4 linked regions of the Lonchura striata genome follow. The protein of the gene in region 3 purifies or fractionates together with the protein of the main gene of each other region. This does not show direct contact. Links are inferred from orthologs where the notes say so. Each region holds a gene or a part of one and is shown on either strand. Other genes may lie near its edges. The genes, in order: ATG2B, PAXBP1, HDAC11 and GCFC2.

The links.
Region 1: the proteins of HDAC11 (region 3) and ATG2B purify together in Homo sapiens (co-immunoprecipitation; 3 studies listed by BioGRID and IntAct, counting the BioPlex papers as one, with this or other methods). This does not show direct contact. The link is inferred for Lonchura striata from reciprocal best matches to the Homo sapiens genes HDAC11 and ATG2B.
Region 2: the proteins of HDAC11 (region 3) and PAXBP1 purify together in Homo sapiens (co-immunoprecipitation; 3 studies listed by BioGRID and IntAct, counting the BioPlex papers as one, with this or other methods). This does not show direct contact. The link is inferred for Lonchura striata from reciprocal best matches to the Homo sapiens genes HDAC11 and PAXBP1.
Region 4: the proteins of HDAC11 (region 3) and GCFC2 purify together in Homo sapiens (co-immunoprecipitation; 3 studies listed by BioGRID and IntAct, counting the BioPlex papers as one, with this or other methods). This does not show direct contact. The link is inferred for Lonchura striata from reciprocal best matches to the Homo sapiens genes HDAC11 and GCFC2.

Annotation. Positions count from the first base shown.
Region 1 is NC_134608.1:14,163,074-14,170,415, reverse strand, and holds the start of ATG2B (autophagy-related protein 2 homolog B), read right to left. Parts: upstream 3,016-7,342; 5' UTR 2,952-3,015; coding exon 2,790-2,951; intron 1-2,789. Other genes in the region: GSKIP (GSK3B-interacting protein), read left to right, coding at 3,964-3,977, 4,510-4,768, 5,384-5,545. UniProt on the Homo sapiens protein: Lipid transfer protein required for both autophagosome formation and regulation of lipid droplet morphology and dispersion.
Region 2 is NC_134604.1:4,242,791-4,250,091, reverse strand, and holds the start of PAXBP1 (PAX3- and PAX7-binding protein 1), read left to right. Parts: upstream 1-4,280; 5' UTR 4,281-4,344; coding exon 4,345-4,777; intron 4,778-5,481; coding exon 5,482-5,610; intron 5,611-7,176; coding exon 7,177-7,301. UniProt on the Homo sapiens protein: Adapter protein linking the transcription factors PAX3 and PAX7 to the histone methylation machinery and involved in myogenesis.
Region 3 is NC_134614.1:2,021,288-2,028,938, reverse strand, and holds the start of HDAC11 (histone deacetylase 11), read left to right. Parts: upstream 1-4,647; 5' UTR 4,648-4,659; coding exon 4,660-4,748; intron 4,749-6,295; coding exon 6,296-6,444; intron 6,445-7,365; exon of another isoform or gene 7,366-7,552; coding exon of another isoform or gene 7,553-7,613; intron 7,614-7,651. UniProt on the Homo sapiens protein: Responsible for the deacetylation of lysine residues on the N-terminal part of the core histones (H2A, H2B, H3 and H4).
Region 4 is NC_134605.1:107,009,567-107,016,627, forward strand, and holds the start of GCFC2 (intron Large complex component GCFC2), read left to right. Parts: upstream 1-4,058; 5' UTR 4,059-4,116; coding exon 4,117-4,411; intron 4,412-5,472; coding exon 5,473-5,580; intron 5,581-7,017; coding exon 7,018-7,061.

The sequences.
Region 1 (7,342 bases), on a different chromosome or scaffold from region 3:
CAAGTTCCTGCCTGTGCTTTGATTTTAAAATGTAGTTAAAATTTAAGTTCTTAGACAAGAAGTAGTTAGGCTGCCTTAATGAAACAAATCCTAATCTTACTCGCATACCAAATCCAGAGAGTGCAACTTTCCAATGTAAACAAAACCCTACTAAAGACTGTGGTTGTAATAAAAGGACAATCTTCAACTGGCAAGAGAAAGTACGGTTTTGACCTTCCTGAGTTTAGAACAAGGCCACTGATTTTACCTGAGAAAATGCTTAAATTCAGCATCGTAAGTTTTGAAAGAAATAAGGATTTAAAAGTTGTTGTCCACTTTTTTTTGTATTTAAAATTATATTCCAATTATATAGAATAATTTTTAAAATGTAACTTTCTGTAAACATATTTTCTTTATTTTTAGTTTTCTATCTCCAGGTGCAACTTTCCCATCACATTAACTTGTTGCTCTCCTTATGCTCTTAATAACCTTGCCTTTAGGATTTTGCTTGCCTTGCATGTTCAGCTTTTCTAGTTCCTGTTCCAAAGTCCACTCAAGCAGCAGCAAAAGACAAACTTTAAAGAAACAGAACCTGAACAGTCCTACTGGGAAATTATTCAGGAATCAAATAATCAACTAAAATTCAGTGACATTAAAATTTTATAAAATTAATAATATAAAAGCTCAAACATATTTGGGCTTATATTTAAGAATTACAGATATGGCAATAGCATAAAATAAGGCAAAAATAATTGTTAGAGATGAAAACTATTTTAAAATATCACATGTTCATTAAAATTATTTGAATGAATTTACAAATTATTTGCTATAGCAAGAAATAAACTAGCTATCATAATTTCAATAAATCTGACTCAGATGTCTTTTTGCTACCCATGTGCATGGCAATAAAAAGTAAGTGTATTTTAGTACACTGCTTATTATTTTAAAATAGAAGTTTACTATTTAAAAGCAAAAAAACTGAAGCACTCTTGAGCTAAATTGCTTCACAAATAGGCCAGATGTTCCTAGAAGGAAGTAATTGGAGCATTCCAAGTGAAATTTTAAAACTGAAGCACAGCCTTCACATAAGGACTTGTTTCCAAACTATTGATCAACAGTCCACAAAAGTAGTATTTAATGTATACTAAAATTCAACCACAAACTCATGCATTACATCCTGATTCTTCTGAACAACCCACAGCCCAAAAGCCATAAGCTTGACGTTAATAGCCCCAGGAATTCCTACATATCTCTACAATCTATAAACACAATGTTGGCTAAAGTATCTACAGTGCTGAGATGAACAGAAGTGTCTGTAAAAATGGATGCCATGTAAAAATACAGTCATCCTGGTGATTCATTGAGAACAAGGTTACAGTGACTAGGGGGAAAAAAGAGCTGTAGTACTTCCGTGACATCTGCTTTTGCAATCTGTCATACATGAGAGTCACGTGCAGAGAACCTCAAACATGTAATTGTTTACAAGTGGAACAGAAAACTGCTGATCCACAAATGGGGAAGATCACCTAAGCATTACAGTATATTCATTTAATCACTGTGTACACGTTATGCAAACTTCGTTTAGTACTGGCCCATAACTGCTTTGTTATTAAGTATTTTATATTTTAAATAATATAACTTTGACTCGCAAAGAGTGCTCGTTACCCACTAGAGGGCACAACAATTCAATTAAAGCGAGGCAGCCTCACTGCAAGCCTGCCACAGAAAACAAGCTGCAGACACAGCCAGAAAATAAAAGAAGAAACAAACAAGCAAACAACAAAAAAAGTCCACACTCAGACACTGGTACCATTGAGCATTTCTGCAAGCGTCTGACCCCTACCACTTTCAAACATATTTTCACACTAACAACATTAAAAATCATTACCTGAAAACATCATATATTCACATGTACTTTAAAATGTATTCTGTATGGCCTAATACCAATACATACTGTAATAAAAAGGTGGTTTGGAAAATATTAATGCAAAGGACCTAGCTCATGATCTGTGCTACCCTAGAAGTCAGTGACTGATTCACTGCAGTGCTTAAGTGTCCTCATGACAGACACTCGACTCACAGGTAGAATTCAGTAATGCTGGCAATTAAACCAAGAACCTTTACAAAATATAACAAACACAGTGATCCAAAGGTGTGTCTCTAGAGTAGGCTGGAAATATACATGTGTGTATAAATATAGATATATTCAAAAAACATACATGCCAGGACTGGAGTGTGACAGGCCACCTGCTGAGCAAACTCCAGCAAAAATCAGCTTTCTTTTTGTCAACAAGTACTTTCACCACTACAAGACGAGGAGACAATCTTTAGAGGACTACACAGACTAAGCTCAGCATAACACTATCATTAAGAACCAAGATGTCTCCAAGAAAAGACAAAGCATAGATACCACAGGGATTACTTTGTTTTCACCATCTCTAGTAGTCAGTAAACATACTTCTCATTAACTACAGGGATTTCTAAAAGTTTGGGGTACACTAGCTTGTTCTCCCTGAAATATCGGCAGCTATTGCCTTCTTTCAGTTTTTGTTTCCCTTCTCATAATTAAAAATTGTGCAATCCAAGTGTGGCTAGAAAAATGCATCTGTAATAAATGCCGCGATTTTTTTTTCTTAAGTGCTAGAATATCAAACAACAGTTTCCAAGATTGAATGCTAATTACGGCTATAACATTTTACATAAAAGAGGCTGGGTGTTGAAAATAAAGTGGGTGGCAGCCGGGGGCAGAGAATCAGCTGGTCCCTCAGACGCCGCAGGAGCCGAGGGGGTGAAGCGCCAGCATCTCTTACCCACTTATCCAGAGGGACCTGCGTCAAGGAGCCGGTGCCCTGGTAGAGATCCAGGCTGAGCTGTTCCAGGCTGAGCTTCTCCTGCAAGAAGTGGCCCAGGTACCTCTGCAGCAGGTACCTGCAGGCTCTCTTCTTGATGGACTCCGAGAAAGGCCACGGCATGGCGGCTGCACGCCGCGGGCCGAGGCCGGGCGGCGGGACGGGGCCGGGCGGCGGGCGGAGAGCGGCGGCGCCAAGGAGCCGAGCGGGCGCCGCCAGGCCAAGGCTCGCCCCTCGGCGAGGGCTACGGCGGGGGCTCCCCGCTGCCGGGCGGCACCGCCGCCGCCGCCCCTCGCCCCCGGCGGGGCAGCGCTGCCCGCCCTAGGGCGAAGAGGCGCTGACAGGCAGCTCCATCCTCACTCGGACACCGCCGCCATCTTCTCGGGCGCGGAGGGGCTGCCGCAGCCGCGCTGCGCGGGGAAGGGCCGGGGTCCGGCGGGAGGGCAGCCCCTCCCCGTCAGCTCTGCGCCGCCGGCGAGGGCGGCCAGGCCGATCGCGGCCGCTCGCCTCCTTCCTCCCAGCGGCCCCCCGCCGACCACCGGCACCGTGACGTGCGGGAAGTGGCGTCGCCGAGCGGAGGAGGCGGGCGCGGAAGCGGCCGCGGGAGAGGGCGGCGCGGCCGGAAGGCGTCGTGCGGCCGGCGGCGCCGGGGCCGCCTCTCCAGGGAGCGGCCCGGGAAGCAGCGGGGCGGGCGCTGTCCGCCGAGCGGGGCGGCGCCGCGTCCGGAGCCGTGCGGGCCGGGCGGCGGGGCCTCGCCGTCCGCCGGCGCTGGTGGGTGCGCGGCGGGGCGCGGCGGGCGTGCGGTCCGTGGGAGCGGGAGGCTCGGTATCCACCTCCCCTATGGCCTTCAGCTTCCTTCGAATTTGTTTGTGTGTCGGCGGTGGGATTTGGCAGGAAGCGGCGGATCCCGTGGAGTTGCGGATCGGATATTGGCAGCCCCCGTTTCCTCCCGGCAGCGGTGCTCATTTGCCCGGGAGCTTTCCCTGCTGCCTCAGGCGGGTTCCACAGGTGTCAGCTGCGGCCTCCCCGCGACACTGGGACCCGCGGGGCCGCTGCCGGAGCCGCGGTGATAGCCCCGCTGGGGCTGCCCTTTGATACCACTTGCTCGCGAAGACCAGCAGCCTGTGTCTCTGGAATGGATCGGCAGTCGTGCGTAAAAAATTAACAGGAGCTTTATTCTTTAGTGACGGTAACAAACGGCTGCCTTTAATTCCGAAGGTCTTTGATAACCCATTTAGTTCATAGACTTTTCTAAGTTTTCCTTAAATGCACCAGCGATAGGGTTTTGTTTTCTGTAGCTACTGATTTAGCTTTTTGCAGGCATGACTTGTCTTCCTCCTACACTCTTGATCAGCAAAGTGCAGAATTAATGACCACTGGATCTTAACAGAGCCCTATACCACAGAATGCAAGTTAACTTGCCTGAGAAAAACTAGGGTCAGTGATACTGATACCACTTCTAAATGTTTATATAATCTTCTTCAGCCCTTGTTCTGAATATCCTATGTTTGAGTTCTCTAGACTGTCATTTCATGAGTTATGGAAGTCACTGGGTCTCATAGTTTCCTTTTTTTTTTGGACAATGTTAAATACATTTGTTTAAAATATAACTTGTGTTTTATGGTGTTATATATTGAGTGTAGTGGTATAATAAGTCTAAAATAAATGTTTTTATATGCAGAATGGAGACTGATTGCAATCCTATGGAGTTGCCCAATAATACAGGGTTTGAAGAGGATTCTGATTATAGAGACTTCGAAGGAACAGACGTGAAAGATATGAGACTAGAAGCCGAAGCTGTTGTAAATGATGTTTTGTTTGCTGTCAGCAACATGTTTGTGTCAAAAACCCTTCCCTGTGCAGAGGATGTGGCATATATCAATGTGGAAACCAGGGAAAGGAACAGATACTGTCTGGAACTCACTGAAGCAGGACTCAGGGTAAACTAATTTGTTTGTAATTTCTTAAACTTCTTTGTTTTGAACAATGACCATATTCAAAAGGTGCCTAGAAAAATACTTCACTGACAACCACACATATCGGTCTTGTACTTTTATGAAAGCCTGATCTACATGTTTTCTTCTAGAAGAGGGAACTTTAGCTATTTACTTCTAACAAAGCAAGAAGGGAAGTTAATAAAAAATCAGGATTTTATTTAAGACACAAAATGGTGAAGATAGAATCAGTAATTTGTTACAGGTATGTAAATTTTTGGGTTTCTCAGGTACCCAAAGAAATCAGTAATACAACGTCTATACAATTTTTTTGCACCATTTTTAATTTTTGCACAGACATGTAGATGTGAGACTTCTTTTCAAAGTATGTATTTTACTAACATTCTGAGTTTTGGACAAGAGGTATTTGAAATTGTCTTAAATGCTGTATAACCAGTAAGCTCAGTAGTAGAAAGCAGAGACTGTGATTTTAAATTTGGCATTTTTTGTTCTTACAAAACATTGTACTGTACTACCCTGACTGGAAAAGTTAAATGTTGTGCTACATGTACCAAGGTGATCATCACCACAGAAATTTAACCACCCAATTCTTTGTTGCAGGTAGTAGCTTATGATTTTGATCAGACTGATGATAGACTGCAAACTCCATATCATGAAACTGTCTACTCCTTGTTGGACTCTCTCAGCCCTGCATATCGAGAGGTGTTTGGAAATGCGTTACTACAAAGACTAGAAGCTTTGAAGAAAGAAAGTCAGTCATGATTTACCCAGATATGAGGAAGATTTAGTGCCAGAAGGAATTATTATGAAGCACTGAGATCTTCCTTACAAACTGCTTAAGCTTCATTTCTTGCATTAACGTCTACTTTGTGCTACTACATTATTATATAACATTTATTTATATGTTATAACAAGTATATTATATAACATTTTGCTACTGTGGTTTTGCATATATCACAAGATTATTAAAAGCCAATTTTATAAATAGAAAAAATTCTTAATTTTACTTTCCGTTGTAAATGAACCTGTAAGTTGCTCCATACAATGTTCAAAAACCTTGGTCTCTTTTCCAAGTCTTAGTATTCAAAACTAAAAAAATAGCTACTGAATGTTATAGATATAAGTAGTAATTCTTTGTGTATGTGTTTACTGATAATTTTCATGCCTTCTTTTTAAAATAGAAGGTAACTACTTGCTCCACCCAGTTAATGAAATAATTAATGAAAAACTTCTGCAAAGAATTCCTGCTTGATTTGCTATACATAAACATGAAAGTTGTCAGCTTTGTAGCTGGAAAGATGGTTCTTCAACAGTTGAGCATTGCTTATATAGTGGCAGTATCTGAGTTAAAAGCAAGGCTCAGCATTAATTGATCTGTCCTTGTCTATGGCAACCAGCAAGCTCCAAATAATACACGAGATGAGCTGCTTATATATGAATGTATTGTCCGAAATGCAAATGATTAAGCACAGAATTAATGGGCTACACATTTCCTAAAAATGATGTTATCTATGCTATAAATATGTATGCTGTACTGCAACTGTTTGAGAGGCTTGGAAGGCCTGTTTACTACTTTGAATGTGTATTTACATGATGTACAGGATATACTCAAGAGTATTTTTGATTCAACCTTTACTTTCTATAATACAGGACTTTGGTACTCCCAGTTTTCACGTTTTCTCCCTCAATTGTACAGTGTCCTCTCCAAATGACTACTAAACTAAGCACTGTAATGTTAATTGCATTGTATTGGTTTGAAACCAAAGGCTGTATGAAATTTGCTAAGACTAATACAAACTGGAAGATATAACTTGTATTTTGTACTTAAAAACTGGTACAACTCTCTTTATAAATTGTTCTGCTATAACTTTTCAAGTATGTACTGAATGGTAGACTTTTTAAAAATTAGAGTTGGGTAGAAATGCTTGTACAGTTGAACTGACATTCTGTGATATTCACACTTTTTGTATTATTGTGTATTTGTGTGTCTTTATTTAAACAATCCTGCCATTATTCTTTTATGCTTTTGTGACAAGTACAAGCAGTAGCTTTTTTGGAGCCACATTTAGGGATTTATTGGTTTTCACAGATTCCAGTGACTTCAGTAGAGCTATGCTGGCTTCTATCTGCTGTGGTTAGTCATATAGATCAGACAAGCCTAGCAGAGCTTTTGTAATGGCTTTGAGTTAGCAGTGTGCAACTATGACAGGAGAACTGTAATTAGTGCTTCTGTTTTCAAGAGCTTAACTTCATAGTTATTATCTTTTTGGGTTGAAACTTCTGAAACTAGTCCAGTGCCCTAGGGTATGTTTCCATGCTCCAAAAATTGTTCATAGGCTCTCTTTTGCACACAGGTCTGTGGCACGTGGTTAGTCCTCTGTGAGGAGAATGTACTTCAGCAAATTTATATTTGAATATTTTTCCTTGCAACTGATTTACTTGTTCAATTTCAATGACTAAAGAATTAAATAAATGGACCAGTGTGTTGAAGTTTTCTTGTGTGGCGTGGAGCTATTGCAAAGTTGGGAATGAACAACTGAAATCATCATGCCCTTAGAA
Region 2 (7,301 bases), on a different chromosome or scaffold from region 3:
AACATGACCTGCTTGGTGGGTGAGTGAAAGGCTGTGGATGTTGTCTACCTGGGGTTTAGTAAAGCCATTGACATAATTTCCCACAGTTTTCTCAAGGAAAAGCTTTTAGGTCATGACTTGGACAGGTGTGCTGTTTGCTAGGAAAAAAAAAAAAAAAAGCCTGGATGTCCAGGCTCCAAATGACACCCTAACTCCTCCTGACTTTGGCCAAATGTTCTTACTGTGGTACCAGTATTGGCTGTTCCCAGAGGGACCTGAAGCATGTAAAGGCCAGGCATTATATTTGAAAAGACAGCAAATACCTTTTCATTTGAATCACAGCAAACCTTAGTCTTTGTTTCTTACATGTGCCCTACTAGAGTGCCTTTGCTTCACAGGATGTTGCCTCATGATTTTTTTTAGTGTAGTCCTATTGCATTTCCTTGTGAAGCTGCTTTATGAGTTCTTGCAAATAATCTCACTGCTTATTTAGGACAGTTAGTCCCAGGCTAGCAGCAGAAATTCTAGCACTCAGTAGGTACTCTGTTGTGAAAACAGGAATGTAAAGGTGGTGTTTTGAATGCAGATTGTGGAGAAGCATACACAGGGTTTGAACAGCTGAGAGCCAGTTGTGTCTCTGCTAAGCTGTGACTGAAAATTGCATAGAGTCACAGAATATCCTGAGTTGGAAGGGACCCACGAGGATCATCAAGTTGAACCCTTAAGTGAGTGGCCTATATGGGGATTGAGCTCAGGACCTGGGTGTCTCTAGCACTCAGCCAATGTCAGCAACACCTTCAGCGCAGTCCCCTGCTGTCAGCTCACTGCTTCTGGGATCAGACCAGGCAGCTCAGCAGTTGGGTCCTGAAAGCTCCCGAGGATGGAGCCTGCACAATGGAACCTGCTCCACTGCCTTGCCTTGTCCTCACTGGTAAGCTTTTTTCCATGTATGAGCCTTAGCCTTCCCTTCTCCAGGCTGAGCATGGATAGTTCCCTCGCACTTCTCTCACAGTCACATGTGCCAGCCCCTGCTTGTCTTGGTGACTCTCCACTGGATCACTTCATCTGATCCATATTTTTTCAGGGAAAGGCTGCCACCTGCATGATGGATGTACTGTCATCTGCAATTTCCCCAAATGGACGGAGCTTCAACATCTGTGACAATGGCAAATTGCTCATGTTCTCCCATATGAGAGAGAAGAAATACTCCATGAAATGACTCTCATCTGACAAGGGAGGTGAGGCTTTGGGCAGATAATTTTCAGATGTGTTGCATGAGAAAGGTTGTCATCCCCTAAAAAACCTACACTAAGACTATTAAAATAGCCCAAAGTCTGCTCCTTGCCCATGTCTGCAGGTTTGAATTCTGTGAGATATGACTAAGGCTGGATCCATTCACACAGTACAATAAAGGCTTTGAAATAAGAGCCTTGCACTGGCAGCAGTCGATTACATGAAACTGAGATAAAATATAAGAAACCTTCTGTCCAGAGAAGCTGTGTCTGCTCCATCCCTGTGAGTGTCCAAGGCCAGGCTGGGTGAAGCTTTGAGCAGCCTGGTCCAGTGGAAGGTGTCCTTGCCCATGGCAGGGAGGATGGAACTGGGTTGTCTTTAAGGGCCCTTCCAACCCAAACCAGTCTGGGATTCCATGATTCTCTGTGCACTTAAGGGAATGGCTATCAAGATTCTGAGGAACCAGAGGAACTCTGAGGAAGTGAAGCTGCTGCAGTTTTAAAGAAAGACTATTTCTATTTTAAATAGTCATATTGATACAACTGTAATCAATGATGGAGCAGTTTTCTAGAAAGCAAAACTTAATTTTTCAGAAGACTTAAATACATTCCCACCCCCCATTACTGTGACCTTTCCCACTGAAATCAGCAATGTGCTAATGATGGAATTAATGGGGTCTATTTGCAATTGCAAATAGATTTAAGCACACTGGTTAATGAAAGCTGGGTACCGAACTCCATTTAACTCAGCCAGAGAACAATTGAATCAGCTGTTGTAAAGACATTGTTCCCTTTGTCAGCCCCTTGGCAACAAACCATAAGCCTTTTTCTCCAAATTACAAATATTTCCAGTGATACCTCTCATGACTGTCTATTACAGACACAGGCAAATGTGCTGAAATCACAGTAATTCCCCACTACCATGACAGCGGTGTCCAAAAATTTACACATGCAGCAGTAGCTGAGGATGTATGTATTCTGGCCTTGTTGGGAAAAAATGAAGTTAATAAATCCATGGGCTTTCTAACAGAGCAAATTAAATTTCTAGTTACTTTTGCCACTGTAGTGTTCTGAATAAGGCTGGTGCAAAAAGACATTTTATTCCAGTGCCCAAGTAAGCACTGCAGTTTGCTGTTTCCAGGAAAAAATTCTCAGCTACAGAAATCCACAGCTCAGATATTGTGGTGAGTTTCCCAGCAGCCCCGTTCTGGCCCAGCAGATACCAAAAACCTGCTACCAATTCTATTTTATAGGGCTTTGCACTACAGAAGTATTGCATTAGAAGCTCACAGAATTTTTCCAGAGTGTGAAAAACGCCCATCACTTGGTTTTTAAAATTTTAAAAGTTTAATAAGAATAAAATGGTTATAAAAATAGTATTACAATTAGAGTAATAAAGTTTACAGTTAAGAAAATTATAAGACAATAAAAAGCAAAGAATTACGGAGGTCCAGATGCTCTCGGACACTAAGTCATGAAGAGCATTCCTTGTGAACAAAGGAATAACCTTAAAACAATACACTTGTTGCATATTCATATATCTCATACATGATGCATAAATTCCTTGCAAATTAAGAACTTTTCTGGTTTTTATCAATTTCTTCTTCTTAATCTTGGTGGTTCCAAAAAGATGGAGAGAAGGTAGAAGAATATTTGTCTTTTCTGATAAGGAGGCTGTAACTTTCTATGGGCCCCTTTTGCTGACATCTCTGTGTGAAGAGTTTCTTGATTATCTCATTTTCTCACTTGAACTTGTAACAAATCCTATATTGCAGAATTTCTATTTTAACATTATGTTGTAACCTCAAACTACGTTTATCACACTGCTTAAGAGAATTAATACAGCATAACATTCTAACATTACACATATAATATTCATTGTAACATTTGCAAAAAGCCAATAATAAAATATGCATTTTTTCACACTTATATTAAAGAAAAGGCTCATCATGTGAGATGAGTGTGTTGTATAAAATTTATTATACCAGACGTAGATGCATTTTGGAGACGTTGCTCTTGTGAAAATATGCATTTTTCACACTTATATTAAAGAAAAGGTTCATCATGTGAGATGAGTGTGTTGTATAAAATTGGTTTTATTATACCAGACGTAAATGCATTTTGGAGACATTGCTCTTGTGAAAATATGCATTTTTCACACTTATATTAAAGAAAAGGTTCATCATGCAAGATGAGTGTGTTGTATAAAATTTGTTTTATTATACCAGACGTAGATGCATTTTGGAGATGTTGCTCTTGTGGAAAAAATGCATATTTTATTATTGGCTTTTCGCAAATGTTACAATGAATATTATATGTGTAATGTTAGAATGTTATGCTGTATTAATTCTCTTAAGCAGTGTGATAAACGTAGTTTGAGGTTACAACATAATGTTAAAATAGAGACAATGTATGTTGGGGGAGTTTGTTTTTTTTTTTTTTTTTGAATGAGATACTCGCTTTGAGGAACACTTAAATCTTTCCAAGAAAAGGAATTTATGGTTTTCTTATCAGAAGAAGCCAATTTCTTCAGGCCATGCTCAGACTCGAAAACGCCTTGGGGATTAAAGGAAACAGTGGACATACAACAGAGTTCTTGTTTTGAATAGAATGTATGCATAACCATGAAGGATATATGAATATGCATCAGGCTATTGTTTTTAAGGTTATTCCTTTGTTCACAAGGAATGCTTTTTGTGGCTTAGTGTCCGAGAGCATCCGGATGTCCGTAATTCTTTGCTGTTTATTGTCTTGCAATTGTCTTAACTGTAAACTTTATTACTCTAATTGTATTACTATTTTTATAACCATTTTATTATTATTAAACTTTTAATATTTTAAAAACCAAGTGGTTGTCGTTTGTCACGTAAGCCACCTCACGCTCCCGCCGCCCTCCCCCCGCCCCGCTGCCGGCACAAGATGGCGCCGGCCGTGAGGGGAGGCAGCGGGGGCGGGCCGGGCGCGCTGCCGCCGCGCAGGCGCCGTGCCGCTCCCCGGCCCGCCGCTGGCGGAGCGGGCGGCAGGGGGCGCTGCGGCGGCGCGGCCATGCTGGCGGGGCCGGGCCTGGGCCGGGGCCGCAGCGCGGGGCGGGCGGCGCCGGGGCCTGGCGGGGCGGCCGGGGGGTGCTGGCGGCATGTTCCGCAAGGCGCGGAGGGTGAACGTGCGCAAGCGGAACGACTCGGAGGAGGAGGATGAGGAGCGCGACGAGGAGCCGCCTCAGGAGCCGGCGGCCGCGGCGGCGGGGGAAGGGCCCAGCGAGGCCTCCGCGCCGCCGGGCGCCGGGCTCCTGCCGCTGCCCGCCGGCTGCGTGCCCCTCGCCCTGCCCGGCAGCCCCGCGGCTTTCGCCTGCGCCGCCAGCTACGGGGCGGCTCTCGGCTTGGGGCTGGGCTTGATGGGAGGCGACCGAGCGGGGCTGGGGGCTCTGGCAGCGCCCGCTGCCCTGCGCCCGCCGCCGCAGCAGGGCAATGGGCTGCCGGCTGCCGGGCGCCCCAAGGAGAAGAAGCGCTCGCGGGAGAACAAAGAGGTGCCGAGGGCCAGCCTGCTCAGCTTCCAGGACGAGGAGGAGGGTGAGGCAGAGATGGTTGCCTGGCTTTTGGGTCGTGAAAGAGAAGCGGAGCTGCCCAGCCTGCGCTGGGCCTCTCCAGGCCTTCCGAGCGAGCAGGATCCGTATTTGTTTTTTAGGGCAGTCAGGGTTCGCCCCGTCTTATGTGATCCCACATCGCCCCAGGCCGCCCAGGGGACTGAGAGCACGGGCCTCCCCCGTCCCCTGCGGGGCCAGCATGCTTCCAGCGGGGTTAGCTGTGGTGGAGGGGTTCAGATGCTGCTGTGTTGCTGGTGCATCGCTTGTGCTGCGTTTGCTGCGCCTGGGATGCCCCAGGTTCGTGCAGCCTGTAGCCTCCCCCTGGAGCCATCGGTGTTAGCTGAGGAGCATCGGTGCCGTGGCTTTCTGTCGAGGTGGTTTTAATCTGGCTGGTGTTCACATGTCACCTCGGACTCACTGCCTGTTGTACGAACAGTTCACAGTTTTGAGTTGTCTTAGAAGGAATTATCTTGAAATCACTGAAACTTGGTTTCTAAGAGTTGTGATTTGAAATCTTTATAGAAGGTGTAAAATTAGACTTTCACTAGAGACTGTGAAAGAACCCTACAATGGCATCCATTAATGGTTTTTTAATGGCATTTGTGAGGTTCCAGGTACAAAATTTAAAGATTAAATAAATAAGTATGCTTGACAGATCTCATGTAATGTTATCCAATTTCTCTTTTAAAGAAACGGAAGAAGTTTTCAAAGTGAAGAAATCAAGTTACAGCAAAAAGATTGTAAAACAGTTGAAGAAGGAATACAAAGAAGATCTTGAAAAATCAAAAGTTAGAACAGAGGTCAATTCTCCAACAGATGGTAATTGCAAAACTAATAGTAACTTCTGTAGTGGAAAAGATCAAGTACTGTAATTTAATTTATTGTTTTCAAAATGAATTGTTAGTCTTTTAGAGAATTTCACATTTAGAGCTGAAGTAAGGCACAGATGAAAGGTGTTACTTGAGCCTTAGGAATGCTGTTCTACATTGGTAGGAAGTTCTTTGGTTCTCATGTAGAAGTTAACATAGAAGGATGGAACTTCTCAGCTCTGTTAGATGGTTGTCAGTAGACATCAGTATTCTGAATTGCAGCTGTGTTTATGACAGATGAATTGCTTATTGAATTGGGAAGGAATTCCATTCATTTGAAAATGGTGCTTGTCTGACAAGATGTGTCCTTATAATGCATTTTCTTCAAAAAGGAAGATTTTTGGGGCGAGCAGAGTGATGGTCTTTGTTTTTAAGTTAATTGTTAAACAGCTACCTGTTTCAGGGCTTGGACCTTTGAGTATACTTGATTAAGATGATAGACTCAAAGTGTTGGAGCAAAAGGATCTGTTTACAATGTACAGTCCTTGAGAGGTTGAAATAGAGCCCGGGACTTCAATTTCATTTTACTGTTGGTTTTTGGGAAGCTCATTGGTAAAGTGTAGTGCTTCCTTTTCCACTTAAGTTTTTACATAAATTATGTAATGATATGAGCATGAGCTGGGAGGCTTATGATCTAAAGATTGCAATGATCTAGAGAAGCACTTGGGTGTTGAACATGGTCCCATGCAGGAAATACCCTTTTTAAATTGAATTAATTATTTTTAAATATTTTGTTTGCATTTAGAAAACCCACATATTCTTTCTTATTAGAATCTTTAAATTGCCTATGCAGTGGTGTGGGACATGAGCAAAACCAGAAATTATCATTTCTATGGCTAGTATTCAGGTCATCTGTGAAAACCTGGATTCTTGCTTCTGTCACAATGATGCTTAAAATACTACATTTTGCACGTGTCTGTGTGGGCCATGTTTGTTTCGCTCTCCCTAATTCATGTGGCTATAGTTCAAAGACTTAAAGACTGCTACTGAAAGAGCAGCCTGGATTCTATAAACAAGTGCTTGAGTCTGAAACCTCAGATATGTGCAGCTTGGTTTGGGTAGCTGGGTTTAATGTGCATTTTTTTACACATTATTATACTTGCTGCCTGTATCTGTATGTTACCCACCTAATGTAGGGTGTAGCCAAGAGGAAAATGAATGGTTCTTTTCAAATCAGTCATTTCTTGTGGAAATACTTGGTGTAACACAGGCAGTGCTTTCTCATTGAAAGAGATTTTGACAAGCTTGCACAAGCTTGAGTTCCCCCACTTTCTTAATACTTGACAATATGAAGAATGTTTAGTGGTTGGTGGGGCCTGCCTTGTCACATTTTATTTTGAGAAGATGTCAGTGATTTAATCACAATTAAGAAAGTGTATTTTCCTAGATCTCAAACAATAAAATTATTATTTAACATTTTCATTTGATTTTCACTTTTGGTTGTTATATCTTTAAAAAAATACTTCTGAGTGATCTTTATAAAAGGAGTAAAACATGGACTTTGCTGTCTTATCAGTTGAAGCACCACTAGAAAAGATAGGACAGAATAAGGATATAGGCCAAGAAGATGGGACTGCAAACAGTGAGCATGGTGAAGAAGAAATGGAAGTTGAAAGTGAGAAGGAAGAAGAAAAACCAAAA
Region 3 (7,651 bases):
GAGTTTTTCTGAGATGCTTGAAAAACATGTTTTTCTTTTGTTTTGATTGCATTTATTAGTCATATGGAAGATGGTGAGGAAAACAGAAGGGATCAGCTCTATCTGAAATTTATGAAGGATCCCTAGCTGTCAAGCTTCCTGAAAAGCAAGTATTTCCTGATACCACCTCTACTATTTTATATATAAATATATGCATATCTCATGGTTCTTCACCAGTAGGAATTTTTATTGCAATACAACTATGAAATGTTATCTTGTTCTCAGGAAAATAAACACAAATCACATGTGGGTGTGATGCAGCAGTACGTGTCACAACCAGATTGTGGGTGGTTTCTGACAGCTCCTCTGGCCCCACACCAGAACACCCCAGAGTCCTGCTGTAGCTACTCAGAGCTGTGGGCTCCTTGGCACTTCCTATTCTTGCTGCTGGGTTTTGCCTTTGCTTCACAGATCCCTGGCTTCCTGAAGAGTGTTCTGGGCACAAAGCAGAGCAAACACTGTGGCAGAATCCTGTCTCTTCCCTCTAATTTCTGTGACCATTACATCTACATCTGGATTAATAGTAATAAAGTCAATAAATAAAGCCAGTTATCTGATAATTTGTGCCTGAATTGTGTCGTCATAGTTAAGTAAAAAGTCCTATCTGGTTATCACAAGACATCCCTATCTAAACTTGTGAACACCTCATGGCACCAGTGAGAAATTTTAGCCGAAGGCCTTTGAAGGAGTTTCTAAATAGTTCTGAGCTTAGGAAACTCCAAAGCTTGGAATAACTCCAGGTTCTTTAGTACTGGTGCACATTGCTTTCTCAGCTGTGCTCAGGTGAACACCGAGACTGAAATTCTGCCAGGACATCTCTGGAGGCATTGTTAGAGTGCAATTTATGAATCTAAAACTAGCACAGAAACAAGAAAATAGTGAAAAACAGTAATGGATTTAGAAACATGCTGAGTATGTTTTGTGTCATGTTGGTTCTCCCCACGGGCCACGCCTCATTTCTTGAGCCTTGGACCTCTCTTGGGGCAGCAAAGGTGTTCCAAGTCATTGCAAGTGATGATCGTGCTGCTGGTAGCAGAAAGTCCCTGCTCCTGGTTATAAGTGGTCAATATCAGGCTGCCTGAGGCCCTGAGCAAGCTGATCTAGTGACTGACATCCCAGTCAGCAGGGGGTTGGAATGAGGTGACCTTTAAGGTCCCTTCCAACCCAAACCAGTCTGGGGTTCTGTGATATCTTTAGAACATAAAACTGCTTTTCCCTCCCCAGCCCTACTTCCATCAAGTCCAATACCTGTGAAGCAATGGTAAATGGGAAAGGTGCAGGAGGCCATCAGAAACAAAAATGTCCTGAAATCTGAGATTTATTGTTTTCCTGGTAGTCTAAGGATACTTTTAACCATTTTCTCAGTGTTTATTACACTTTTCCCATCAGCTGAGTTATGTGTTTCTTTTGAATATACTTGGAAAAGGTGGGGCAGAAATGTGTGTTGCACTTCACCACTTGCATATTATAAACAGACTAAATACCATTCAGATTATCAAAGCACTTAAAGATCAGAACAGGTTAGATATGTCAAAAAGAGCAGATGTTTACAGAGTATGAAAGTAAATCAAGTCTCATGGCTTCCTCTACTGGCCATCAGCTCAAGGCACTGAACTGAGTCCCTCCAGTGAATCTGAAACGGACATTTAAAGACTATTTTGGAGAAACCCTTGCTGGGTTTTGTATCATCTGAATTCTGTTGCAATAGCCCACATCTCTCATCTTGAAAATTGCACAGCACTGAAGGCACTGAGCAGCGATTTGTGGCTCATACCAAATTGTTAAGGAGTGAGGATTTCAGTTAGGTGTAATTCAGACAGGGAGACGGCCTTAGGCTAATCAGAGTGAAGACAACACTGTAAGGAAAATAATCTTATCTTTAAGGAATATTCAGGCCTTACATTTCCAGTGGCTCTGAGAAAGGGAAGAAAGCTGTATCAGTTTCTGAGCTATAAAAAGCACAGACCTTTTTCTGCTCTGCTGGATTACAGGAATCAGTAATTTCACATTTTCAACACATCACCGAAGAAAATGCCTGATCTCAGGCATGTCACACCATGGCAGATCAAAGGCCCCAGGATCAAAGAGATTAAAGTAGCATGGTCTCTCAAAATATTATTTCCTGTTTGAAAAACACCAATTATATTACTGTAGAAATTCATGTAATGAGTTACTATTCAAAATTTTTTATAGGAAAATCAAGCCTCAGTGTAAATTTTAACAATCTCTTTTCTATATGTTTCTTTACAAGTGTTTCATTCCTGATTTTATCAACAAATGTCTTGATGTTACCTGTTTCAAAAGCCTCAACTCAAAGAGGTTTGAAAGCAAACTATTAGTGACACGGCTTTTATGTCAGTCTCGAAGGTGCCTTGCCCTTTAATGATGTATAATTAGCGTCTCACAGCCGAACCCAAGGGAGCTGATTCACACTCTACGGAGGACAGGCTGTCGTGACAAGAGAGAGAGAGCTCCTTTGGAAGTAGCTCAGCTGCCTCCGTGCAGCGGAGGAGAGCTGCACATGTCAGGCCTGATCAGATCCACCAGGGTTATCCCAACTCCTGCAGGGTTTCAGCTCCAGGCACTAAGTGGGAATTTTCAGGGAAGTAATACTGTGAGTTTGCATCAGCTCTCAATTTGGCATCACATTGCTTCATCTGTAGGATTTAACCCAGAGGTTTTGTCAGTGATCCAGAGTCCCAACTTTCTTTGTGGCATGAATTTGCTAGCACTGACTTTAGCCCATCATTTCACTGTTTCTTGATAGGGAAAATCCCTTATCCTGTTTCAACATTCATCATGTTCAAGTGATTTAACCATCCCAGACCTTCACCACTTCTTGCAGTGGGCCCTTAGGACAAGAAAGACCTCAAGGGGCTGGAGTGTGTCCAGAGAAGGGAATGGAGCTGTGGAAGGGTTTTGAGGCACCCGGAGAGGCTGAGGGAGCTGGGAAGGGGCTCAGCCTGGAGAAAAGGAGGCTCAGGGGGAACCTTGTGTCTCTGCACAGCTCCTGACAGGAGGGGATAGCCGGGGGGTCGGGCTCTGCTCCAGGGAACAGGGACAGGAGGAGAGGGAACGGCCTCAGGCTGTGCAGGGGAAAGTCCAGAATGGATATTAGGAAGAATTTCCTCATGGAAAGAGTCATCAAGCACTGGGCTGCCCAGGGGAGTGGTGGAGTCCCCATCCCTGGAAGTGCTCCAAAACAATTTAAGACATCCAAGAAACATGGAAACTAGTCCATCAGTGGATTTTTAATTTAAGTAAGAGTATAAATGAAAATAAAATAAGAACATAGTGGAAATTAAGTCCCGTGAAGATCTTAAAACATTAACAATCTATGTTTGTAGCTTGTTAACTAAATACTCAAACTCTAATTAAGTCCCAAGTAGTTAGGAACAAGGAAGAAAAGGTAAATGTGCTGGAGGAATACTGAGTGAGCACACAAAGGACCAGAACAAAATAAATGTTAATTAAAAGATAATGTCAAAGCGATAGAATGTTTTTGTGGTGTTATGGTCTCCTGCTGCTAAATAAATACCAAGGTGAAGCCCAGGCATCCATCAAAACTGAATGCCAAGCCAAAGCCAATATATTTGAAAAAAAAAAAAAAGACATTTATCAGGGACTCTTATAAAGCAGTATTACTCCTCCAGTGAAAAGAGTGCTTCTGGGCATTCATCCTGGGATTCATAGATACTGCTCCTATTGATGGACTATTTTTCATCATATTATTGATTTAGCTATACAACTGTGTAAAAATGCTTGTTATATATATTCAGGCAGGATTAGTTAACTATGCTTAGAAATGGGGTTTTGACGTCAAACTCTTTTCTTGTGCGCCTGAATTCAGTGGTGTTGTCCCTGGGGTGAATCCTGACCTGTCAAAATCATTAACAGTTCTGTGTGGCAAGCACATTTCTCTCCCTGTCAGGATTTTTCATAGAGGTACACAGAGAGAAATGAAAGAGAAAACAATTTCTATTTCTGCTCCTTGTTTTTCCTATGTGGAATGTGTTTGGAGAATTGTTTACCTGGAGTGAGTACTTGATTGGATTCTGGTGAGGATCGTTTGAGCCTGATAGCCAATGCAATGCAATGCAATGCAATCCACTTGTGTCTGGACTCTCAGGATCACGAGTTGTGTTTAGAGTTAGAGTTACAGAAAGGAGTATGTAGTTTTAGCACCGTCCTTTTATATAGAGTTAGAGTTACAGAAAGAAGTATGTAGTTTTAGCACCGTCCTTTTATATAGCGTATTAATGTATTTTAGCCATAGTTATAATAAAGAAATTATTCAGCCTTCTCAATTGAGTCAGACATCGCCATTTCTTCCCATTGGGTTCGCCTGCATTTACAACAGTTCCGCTGCTGTTAGGTAGGATCACTGTTTCACCTTTGCTTTCTTCACCGTGCTGTAGACCTACTAGCACCTACCGGTACGAGCTGTCAATTCTATTTTACAGAGAGGATGGTATTTTCCTACCCAAAGACACCGTTAGTGCGGGATCGCCTCGAGGCCGTTGCGTTTCCCAGGTCAGCCCAGCGGCTCGTCCGGCACTTCCCTTCAGCGGCGCCGCCGGAGGTGCACGCCGCGGCCCGCGGCGCAGAGCCGCCGCTCCCATGTACGAGCCGGGGCTGGCGTGGGCCCGCCCCGGGCCGGGCGGGGCCGGGGCCGCCCCTTCCCTGCGCGGCCCGGCGGAGGCGGGGATGTGAGTACGGGCAGGGGCGGCCGCGGGGCCCGGGGACAGCGGCGGGACGGCCCGGGCGGGACGGCCCGGCCTGCACTGCCCGGCCTGCACTGCCCGGCCTCGGGGCCACCGAGCCGCAGGGCCGGGCTGGGGCTGCGGCGGCGCCCGGAGCCCCCGCGGGCCCGGCCCGGCCCCGCCCCGGCGGGAGGAGCCCCTGGGAGCCCCTGGGAACGCGGTGTCCCTGGGAGCGGGGAGTCCATGGGAGCGGGGAGCCCCTGGGAGCGGGGAGCCCCTGGGAACGCGGTGTTCCTGGGAGCGGGGAGTCCATGGGAGCCCCTGGGAACGCGGTGTTCCTGGGAGCGGGGAGCCCCTGGGAGCCCCTGGGAACGCGGTGTTCCTGGGAGCGGGGAGCCCCTGGGAGCCCCTGGGAACGCGGTGTTCCTGGGAGCGGGGAGCCCCTGGGAGCCCCTGGGGACGCGGTGTCCCTGGGAGCGGGGAGTCCCGCCGCGAGCACCCCGGGCTCCGGAGCAGTGCTGCTGTTTTCCGGCCGAGGCTCCGGGCCCCGCTGTCCCAGCACCTTCCCCAGAGGCCGCCTTGCATCGCGGGGAGGGCCGCGGGAAGGCTCGGGGAGCCCTGGCTCGCAGTGTGGGCGGTGTGTAGGCGCCGGGCTGCGGGTCCTGGGGAGAAACCTCCATTGTCCTCGTGTTTCCTTTGGCTTGCTTCTAACAGGGTTTTCAAAGGGTGTTTCTGAACGTGTTCAGGCTGGAAATAAGGGTGTTTCTGTTTGTATTGTTCACCTGACAAAAAGACGCTTGTGTCTTGCACAGTATGTGGCAAAGCCTTTTCCATACTTGGCATTTCGGGGAGCAGGAGAGGCCTCGGCATCTGTTCTCTCCAGTGACGAGAGTTTGGGGCACAGAAGGCAACCAGCAGGTGGTGGAATAGGCTAAGTGTGAACGCAGAATCCCATCTCAGCCTTGGTTTGTCCTCCTGACCCACGTGTGCACACTGGTGTCCACAGACAATTGGTGTTTGTTTTGTAAACACAGAGCATTTAATAAATACTGGTGGATTGGCGAATGGCTTGTGAAGGAGGGCTGTGACCTGGCTTTGCTGTGTTTCCTGGTATTGGGAAAATAAAATTATTTGGAGGGGTAGGCAAGGAAAATATTGGTTAAAGGTTACAGGTGTGGCATCTGGTTCTGTCCTCTGCAAGTAAAAACCTAAGGCCTATTAGTTTGCTCAGGTGGTCACAAAGTAGTTTGTTGCTTTCTAGGAAAAGAGCATAGAAATCTTTCCAAGCTTCTATTGTTAGAAGCATCATGGTTTGTGTTTTGATACAGAAATTAAAATAGTAGTCTAGTCTGGGTGCACCTTTGAAGGTAGAGGTGTTGATTGACACATTTGGAAAGACGAGGGGAGAGAACCAAATGTTGCCATTTTTCTGTTGGAATTACCATATTTTGAATTACAAAGTCGGTATCAGGGCTAATTTGTAACTTGAGCCTTCAGTGTCAAACTGGTAGATGAGTTTTGAAGTGGTGACTGGTGTGTGTTTGCTTGCCAAGGCCTCACAGGACGGAGCTGTACGAGGATCCCCCATTGGGATGCTGGCCCATTGTGTATTCCCCAGACTACAACATCACCTTCATGGGACTTGAGAAGCTGCACCCCTTTGATGCAGGGAAATGGGGGAAAGTCATCAATTTTTTGAAAGGTAAAAACATAACAGAAGGTGTCTCTTAAACCAACATTTGCACAAAATCTAAAGAAAATTATGTGGTTAGTACAGACTTGTATTGGGCTTTTCAGAGACCTGAATTGCAGTGTGTGGCTTCCTATAGCCTTGTGCTTCCTGCCTTTACACCTGGTGTAGCAGGAGCTGGGGCATTCCTGTGGCTGGTGAAACACCAGGTGTTAATGATGATGTAACTTACTCAAGCTGGACTGCACACAGAGCTCCTCAGGCTGAGGGAGAAGTGCTGCTGTAGCACTTTAGTCCTTTCTTCAGCAGCCTCATCCTATTGCTCTGATAATGTTTAGAAAGAGCTTTGAGGTCCTTCTGGTACAGGCAGAGCTTTTTATGATGCTTCTAATTATTGCTGTTTAAACCATTTGTAGGATACAGGTAGAAATGCATTAAGGAGATAGAAATGTAAGATCCAGGGGCAGGATCAGGGCTTGTGAAATCTTGTAATCTCTTTATTTAAAGCAAGAACTTGCTCATTGAGGGTAAAAAAAAAAAAAAGGCTTTTTCTCTTTCCAGGACAAAGGCTGTTGTTTGTCCCAAAGCCAGACCTCTTTTTATGTGGGCCTTATGACTCCTTCAGCTGATGATCCTTTGCAGTTCAGGATTGCCCTTCCCACTGCAGGCTGACTTTTATTCTTTTAACTGAGGTCAAATAATTTTAACACTAATAACTTAGTAGCTGAGTTTTGGCTTTTTCCTCTACCAACCTTAAATAATTTAGTGCTGTGTTCCACAACACTTTTCTTAATTGATCAGAACTTTTGCCTTTCTGTTTCTTCTGTGTAAAGCCTTTTCCTCCAGCTCCTTTTCTGTGACACGTCTATTCTCAAGTGTCTCAAGCTTTCACAGAAAATCAGTTTTCCCAATTGTTTCACTGTCCTTTGAAAGGAGGAAGAAGCCCCAGGATGCCCCAGAGCACTTGGTTTGCTGTGGCTGTGTAGCAATTCCTGGCAACAGCTGACCCTCCCCTGTGCCTTACCACTGAGCAGATCAGCAGCGAGCATCTTTGCAGAGTCCCTTCCTCCTGGAGGAGGAAGCTGGCAGCAGTTTGGCTCTGTGTGACACCACTGCATGAATGAATTGTTCCTCAAGCCTCAGTCAGGAGAAACAGGAGCTGGCCAAAACAAATGTCGCAGGTGCTGTTCTTGTATAACACTTCAGAGCAAAATCTCTC
Region 4 (7,061 bases), on a different chromosome or scaffold from region 3:
CATCTTTATTTAAAAATGGAGGCATAAAACAGAACAGGATAAACAAAAGGACAGGTTGATATTTGCTTTCCACACCTAAAAGAACAAGATGCATTTCTGATATCGATTCTGAGTAGCAATTTATCAAAAAGGTGTAGAAGGCACAAAGCACACACTGCATCAAAAATAGAACTTCTAGAGGTGTTGGTTTGGTTTCTAAACCAGAAGTCCACACAGGTTTTAAAATAACAAATGGCTACTGTATTCATTTTGCAGGATTTTCTATTACTTCATAGCTGTATGAATTAAAATATTCATGTCCCAACTTTGTTCCCTGCCAAGCACTGATATTATTTAGTAGTGGATGGGGAGCTGGACTGTATTTGTTCAGTGTGGCAAAGGCTTCTTTGCCTACCGCACTGAAATTATTTTGAGATTTACAGAACATCTATGTAACCATAGAGAAAGCAACTTTCCAGTCAGGCCAGACTATGCTGTGAAGGGACGCAGTGCTGACTCATGCAGACTGAATTATGGCAAATAAAACTTTGCCAACTGCTGAGCAGACACAAGGGTTTTACTTGCTATCCCTAGCTGCAGTGCAAGCAGGCAGAAATGCTCAAGCACACAGGAATTTCACAAGTGCCAAGTGCTGACAATACCAGAGTAATGGGGTTAAGCAAGGTTATTTGTTGCAATTTTACAATCCTTATGCCACAACTAGTAAATAACATTTTGGTAAGACAGAGTTGCAGGTTCATTTCAGACACATTTTTTTCTCCATGCTCAAATTTTGATGCAAGCCAAGAAGCTACTCTGATCCCAATAGGCTGGGATCCCTACTGCATTAGCTACAATTTTTTTTTTCCCATAAATCTTTCACTTTTAGGAGCTAAAACCCTGTTATTTCATACATACTGTTGGGTTCTGAGGACCAGTACTACTTTTGAGTAGTGTACCTCTTGTGTACCAGTTTTGTGAGGTTCTCTGGAATTACATGTTGCTTTTAAGGGATGAATAACATAAATATTGTGGAAAATTCGAAATAAATCTTCACAGATTTCAGAATGTTTCATGAGTTGCTGCAAAAAGGAAGTTTTTTCAGATTTGTGGATTTCTGAAAAGATGCAGGCATGCTATAAAACAAGTACATACTATGATAAAGATAGGCAAAACAGTGTCAAACAGTAAAGTGAGTTTATGATTAATAACGTAATTAATAAAAACAGGGATTCGTTGAAAGGGCAAAGAGATCACTGTAGTTTTAAGCTGGTTTATGGAAGTCTACACAAAAGCTCTGTGTTGATGGAACACAGAAGTTTGCCCTGACTGTAGCTCTTGCTTGCCTGGTGTAACGCTGAGTGTTCGAGGTGCTGCTGCCCCCATCTGCCTGACATCCTGCTGGACTTTTCCATGAAAAACGGAAGCAAAGGCAAATTCTTCCACCAGCTGCAAGAAATATGATTGTACTGTACCTCAAATCAGTGACAAAGTTGCTGCATTTAGGGGGTTGGATCTAATTTTGCAGTCTTTCCCCCAAAACAGAGTTGACCTCTTAGGTTTTGGTTTTTTTTTTTTGTGGTTTTTTTTTTTTTTTTTTTTTTGCGGTTGAAAATTGTTTTTGACGAGAGGTAAGTCTGTCAGAGCAAGTAACTTTGTAACTTACATTGACATTAAAGTTTAACAGGGTTCAAGCCAGAGCTGAAATCAATGGAGTGTGAAAAGAGATCATACTATCAGCTATTAATGCTTCACTTGAATTTTCATGCAAGGTTTGTTTTGCTTTTATCCTGCTTCTTGCTTTGGAAAGAGAAATCTATAATAATTTGCTGGTCTACTTCACTGATCTACTCTGTGTCTTTCTGAAAATTCATTTGCCAGAGGAATTTTGGTTACATAGTCACTAAAACACTTAAGAACAAATGATTCTAATATTTGTGACCAATAAATCCTCACCTGTTAAAGTCTGTTAACTTTAACCTTCATGCAAAAGGCAAAATTATCCTTTTGTCCTGTGTCAGGAAAAGGGTTTTTACTGCCCAAGAAGATAAATCCATTGGCACTTGGCATTGACAGTCCTTCCAAGAAATACTGTGCTGCGTTGCTGAGGCTGAATTTGATTTTCCTCTTCTGAACTGGGATCATCATGGATTGGATGCCACTGCCCAGATCAATATCTTGGCACTTAGTGAGCATATTAACTGGAAGGACAACTGCAAGCATGGCAGTTTCAACCTGCAGGAAAGACAAAGAGTACAAGGGTTGTGTTCCCTGTTTCTGCCATGCTGAGGTCCTCAGTCCTACCTGAGTAGTGCTTACTAGACTGACAGGATTTAAAATCAGACGAAAAATAAACTTTAATACAGAGACACAACAAAGGAAAGAAGCCCTGCCATTATTTTAAAGATGTTAAAGGCTCCTGGTAAAACTCCCATCTTTGCTTGGCTTGATGAAGCCTTCATTAGTGCTGGAGTGGTAAATGAGAAACATGGATCTTATGGGCATTATTCCAGGTAAATCCACATCTGCAAACTTTGCTTTGCCCAGGTCACAATGGAACAACTCAATACACCTGTGCATCCCCAGACTATTCTTGACTTTATTCTTCAGTCAGAGAAACTACCCAGGGAAAGTCCATATAAATTCCACAGCAATAAGGCAGTTTTGAATCATAGCCTGCAATAAGTCAATTTAAACACACATCCATGGACAGGTTTAATTTCAGCATTTGCATAAGTACTTTATTTATCCACCAGACCCCGACCATTTTAGAGTGTAGAAAATAAATAATGCTGCAAGGTGAATTGTGCTTCCTGAATTGTTAAAGTTTTTATTATCATCCTTATTCACTAAGTAGCCTTGGGTTTTATTTAATAATCATTCAGAAGCAGTGCTGAATAAAAATATATTTTAGCTGATCTTGGGTTTTTATGTTATTCTTACTGTAACTGGTGCTTCACAAATGCAGCTTTTTCTTCACAAGATTCCTGAGGCAAGTTAATATTAGCATCTTCATCTTACAGATGAAGAACAGAAAGGTGGAGCAATTTGAGCAAGAACATTTCAGACATTTGCTATTCTTGGATACTTCTCTTGGGACACAAAAGCTTACTTGAAGGACTTGCTCTGCCTGGTTTCATGTTTTCATTTGGAGTGGGATGCACTTTCTTTCCACAGAGCAAACCACACACAGCTCCAGTCAGCACGGCAGAAATCAAAGGCTGGTACAAGCTACAGTGCAACTCCTTTCCAAACAAACCAATTTGTCATCAGTTGTCACATTCCCACCTTCCTTCTGTTCCCAGCCATATGTTCCCCTCCCCTTCCCCCAGCACTGCCACCTGCCTAGCTCCTTCTGTGAGCTCAGCCTGAGGAAAGGGAAAAAAAATGTGTGATTACTTTTTGACAACGAGCTACAGAATGAGTTTCGCATTTACAATAATAATAGAATCAGAAAGGCTTGTCTTGGAAAGGACCTTAAAGATCATCTAATTCCATGGGCAGGGACACCTTCCACTAGTCAGGTTGCTCAGAACTGCCTCCAACCTGGCCTTAAAAAGCGTATTTATTTGTTTTTAGTGTATGTTACTACTAATTCTAAAATAGATAGTTTATTTGTGTAGCTAGGCATTAGCAATTACATTTCAATTTACTATTCATTTACATAATACGTAGCAATCACAAAAGTTTATAAATATGCATTAGTAATTATCGCCAAATAACTTACATATAATATATATATTAATAATATATATATAATATATATATATAATTTACGCATATTAAAATATCATATAATGATACATTATTTATAAATTATATTTTATAATACCGGAACTCCATACGTTTTCTATGGTACTGTGGAAGAGGGGAGCACCCACCCAGCACAGCAGCCCGTACACTGCGAGGCTGACGGCTAGTTACATTTTTAGGCATCAGTGAGTCACCAAAAAACGCCTTTTACGTCTTTTCACCGTCCCCTTCTCGCGCTCCATCCCTCCGTCCCGCCCACCGCGGGCGGGGCGCGCCGGGGTCGCGGCGCGTGCGCGGCGGGACGCGCGGCGGGATCGCGGCGATTCCGGGAGCGATTCCCGGAGCGATTCCCGGAGCAATTCCCGGGGGCCATTCCCGGCAGCGATGTTCCGCCGGCCCCCGCGCAACTTCCGCGGCCGGCGGCGCGCAGCCTCCAGCGGCAGCAGCGAGGGCGAGCCCGAGCCGCGGGCGGAGCCGGCCGCAGCCCCGTCCCCGGACTCCGGCGCCAGCTCGCCCTCGGAGCGGGGAGCGGAGCCCGCGGCGGGCGGGGCCGGTCCCGGCGCGGAGGGGCCGCTGCCCGCCGGGGAGCCGGCCCGCAGAGCCGGGGCGGGCGCGGGCCCGGGGCAGCGCCGGGCCGGGCAGGAGCTGCTGAGCTTCGGCGGCGAGGAGGAGCGGGAAGGTGAGGAGGGTCCTGTGTGTGTGTGTGTGTGTGTGTGTTGCCTTGGCTGCCCCCTCAGCGAGCCCCTGCTGCCTCTCGTGTCAGGGGAAGGGCTCCTGGGAGCGTTCGCACCATGAACCCGCGCTAAAGGACGGGCTAGGCCTGGTTAGTCTGCTGAAGACTGCGGGTCTTGTCAGTCCATCTGGATATCTCGAACGCGGTGCCAAGAGAATGGTGCTGGACTCACTTCAGTGATGCCCAGCAATAGGATGAGGAGCAATGGCCATAAACTAAAACACAGTAAGTTCCACCTCAACATGAGGAAGACCTTATTTACATCAAGGGTGGCAGAGCACTGGAACAGCTGCCGAGGGAGGGCCGGCAGCCTCCCTCTCTGGAGACATTCCGAACCCTCCTGGACACATTCCTGTCTCCCCTGTTCCAGCTGACCCTGCCCTGGCACGGGGTTTTGCCAAGGTGCTCTCCAGAGGTCTCTTTCAACCCTAACAATTCCGTGATTCTGTGAAAAGTACTTTGATAATTACTTATGTCCACATTGTTTCAGCTGGAAAGCATCTGGAATCTTACAACTGGAGAAAGCCAGTACTGTGTAGTTCCATGATGAGCAAGATTAAATAATGAAACTTAAGTGTTTGATTGACACTTCTGGGCTGTTACTGTTGTGGTTGATGAGAAGACAGCCACCTTGGTGGGGACAAGCTGCAGAGAGACCCTGCATTTCAGCAGTGCAGTGATGCTGTGTACAGGAGGCTGACCTGGAGTTTTTACCAGCTGGTCGATCATGAGTGATGAAGCTGCTGTAATATTTAGAATTAATCCAGCCAGAACTGAAAGACTGAACATAGCCCTTACTGCTGTGGTCTTGACATGTTGGTGTTTGGTCATAGGTTGGACTTGATCTCAGAGGTCCTTTCCAACCTAATTGATTCTGTGATTCAGAACTTAGGCTGTGCACACACATAGAGTTTACATGCACTTTTGTATGCAGTACATACATATATATGTGTGTATATTGTTGGTTTTATTAATGTTACTCAGAATCACTTTGTTTTATCTGGTAGGTGAAGAGTTTTTTAAAGTTAAAAAGCCATCCTTCAACGAAGTAACCTTTAGAATTAAAAAGAAGGAAAGCTTACTGCCTGCACAGACAGAAGCTGAAGAAAGCAAAAGTAAGTACTTCTTTTAGTTAAGTATTTTATGAAATATGTGAAGAGTGATGTAAAAATACTGCTGTTAGATGTTTTTTGCTTGTTAATTGAATCCAGAATTATATTTACAATGTTGGTTTACAGGTTTATAATTGTAATGTATTTGTGCTGAAATCATTTTCAGTTTGACCTTGGTAAAAGATTATCAGAACTTGGAGGCTGTTCTTGAGAAAACCTGATTATGCAGAACCATGTACTACATCAAAGTTAGCAAAGTTTTGCTAAGTTTGTACCTCAGCATCATATGTTTCAAACTATGGGCCAGGTGTCCACTGCTTATTGCTGTCAGATTGCAGTTTATCTGAGAATTGGCATTGAGGGAAAATGTGAGCTTAGTAGCATTTTGTCTGATGAAACTTAATGCAAACATTATTAAATTCTGTGCTCTTACAGCATTTAAATGTTTTAATTGAATGCAGTCAAAAGCATTGATTATTCTGATAGTATCCCTATTTTCATTTAAATACAGTCAATTGCCCAGAGAGGCTTTGGACTCCCCATCCCTGGAAATTTTCAAGGCCAGGTTGGGTGAGGCTGTGAGCACCTAGGCTAGTGGAAGATGTCCCTGCCCATGGCAGGCTAATTGGAACTAGATCTTTAAGGTGCCTTCCAACCCAAACCATTCTGTGGTAAGTTTCCTATTGGAATATTTGGAGTTTGTGTGTTTTAGAAAGAAATTAATCTAAAAGTTCTCTTTATGTATTCCCCTTTTGACACCTCTGTCAATTCACAGATAAACCGTATATGCTACTGTTAGATAAAAGTAAATTAGATTGAGATTGGGCAAGAATTCCCTTTGAGGTTGTGATTCAGCTGAGATAGTAAATTTTCTTAGCAACTTCTTATAAAAGTGTATCATATTCTTATAGAAGGTGGTACATTCTATTGTAATCTTATGATTTACTGAAACTGTAGTGGCAGATGAAGATAAATCAATACTTTTAAAGGATTTGATAATAACTGGAGACAAGATAGATATAAATGTTTATAGTTTAGGAGCGCCCTTATTGTTAATACTTTTTAAAAAGTGCTTTCTAAATGCAGTTTTTCAAGTCAAGAATCCAAATATGCTGTGAATAATCAGAATATTATTAGTTGTTATCTGAGAGCTGATCTCATTGCTTTTGTACATGTAAATACACTCTGTGTCTCAGAAGGACTTATAGTCTTTCTATGGGAAGCATCACCAAAGATGCTTTTATTCAATTCAAGAATTGTCTTGTAAATTACTGTCTTGGAATGTTACAATTTGACATGTTTTGATGAGAACAGCTGGAATTAGACAAGTGACTGGTCTTTGCTGCAGCAAGGTGTAAATAATTTCTGGTAACCAGTTATGGCACATCATATTCCAGCAGCTGAAATAATGGATCATACTTTTTTTCCCCTATAATGAAGAAATCTGTCAGTTGGAGTCTGGAGTTGGCAACACCAAAGATACT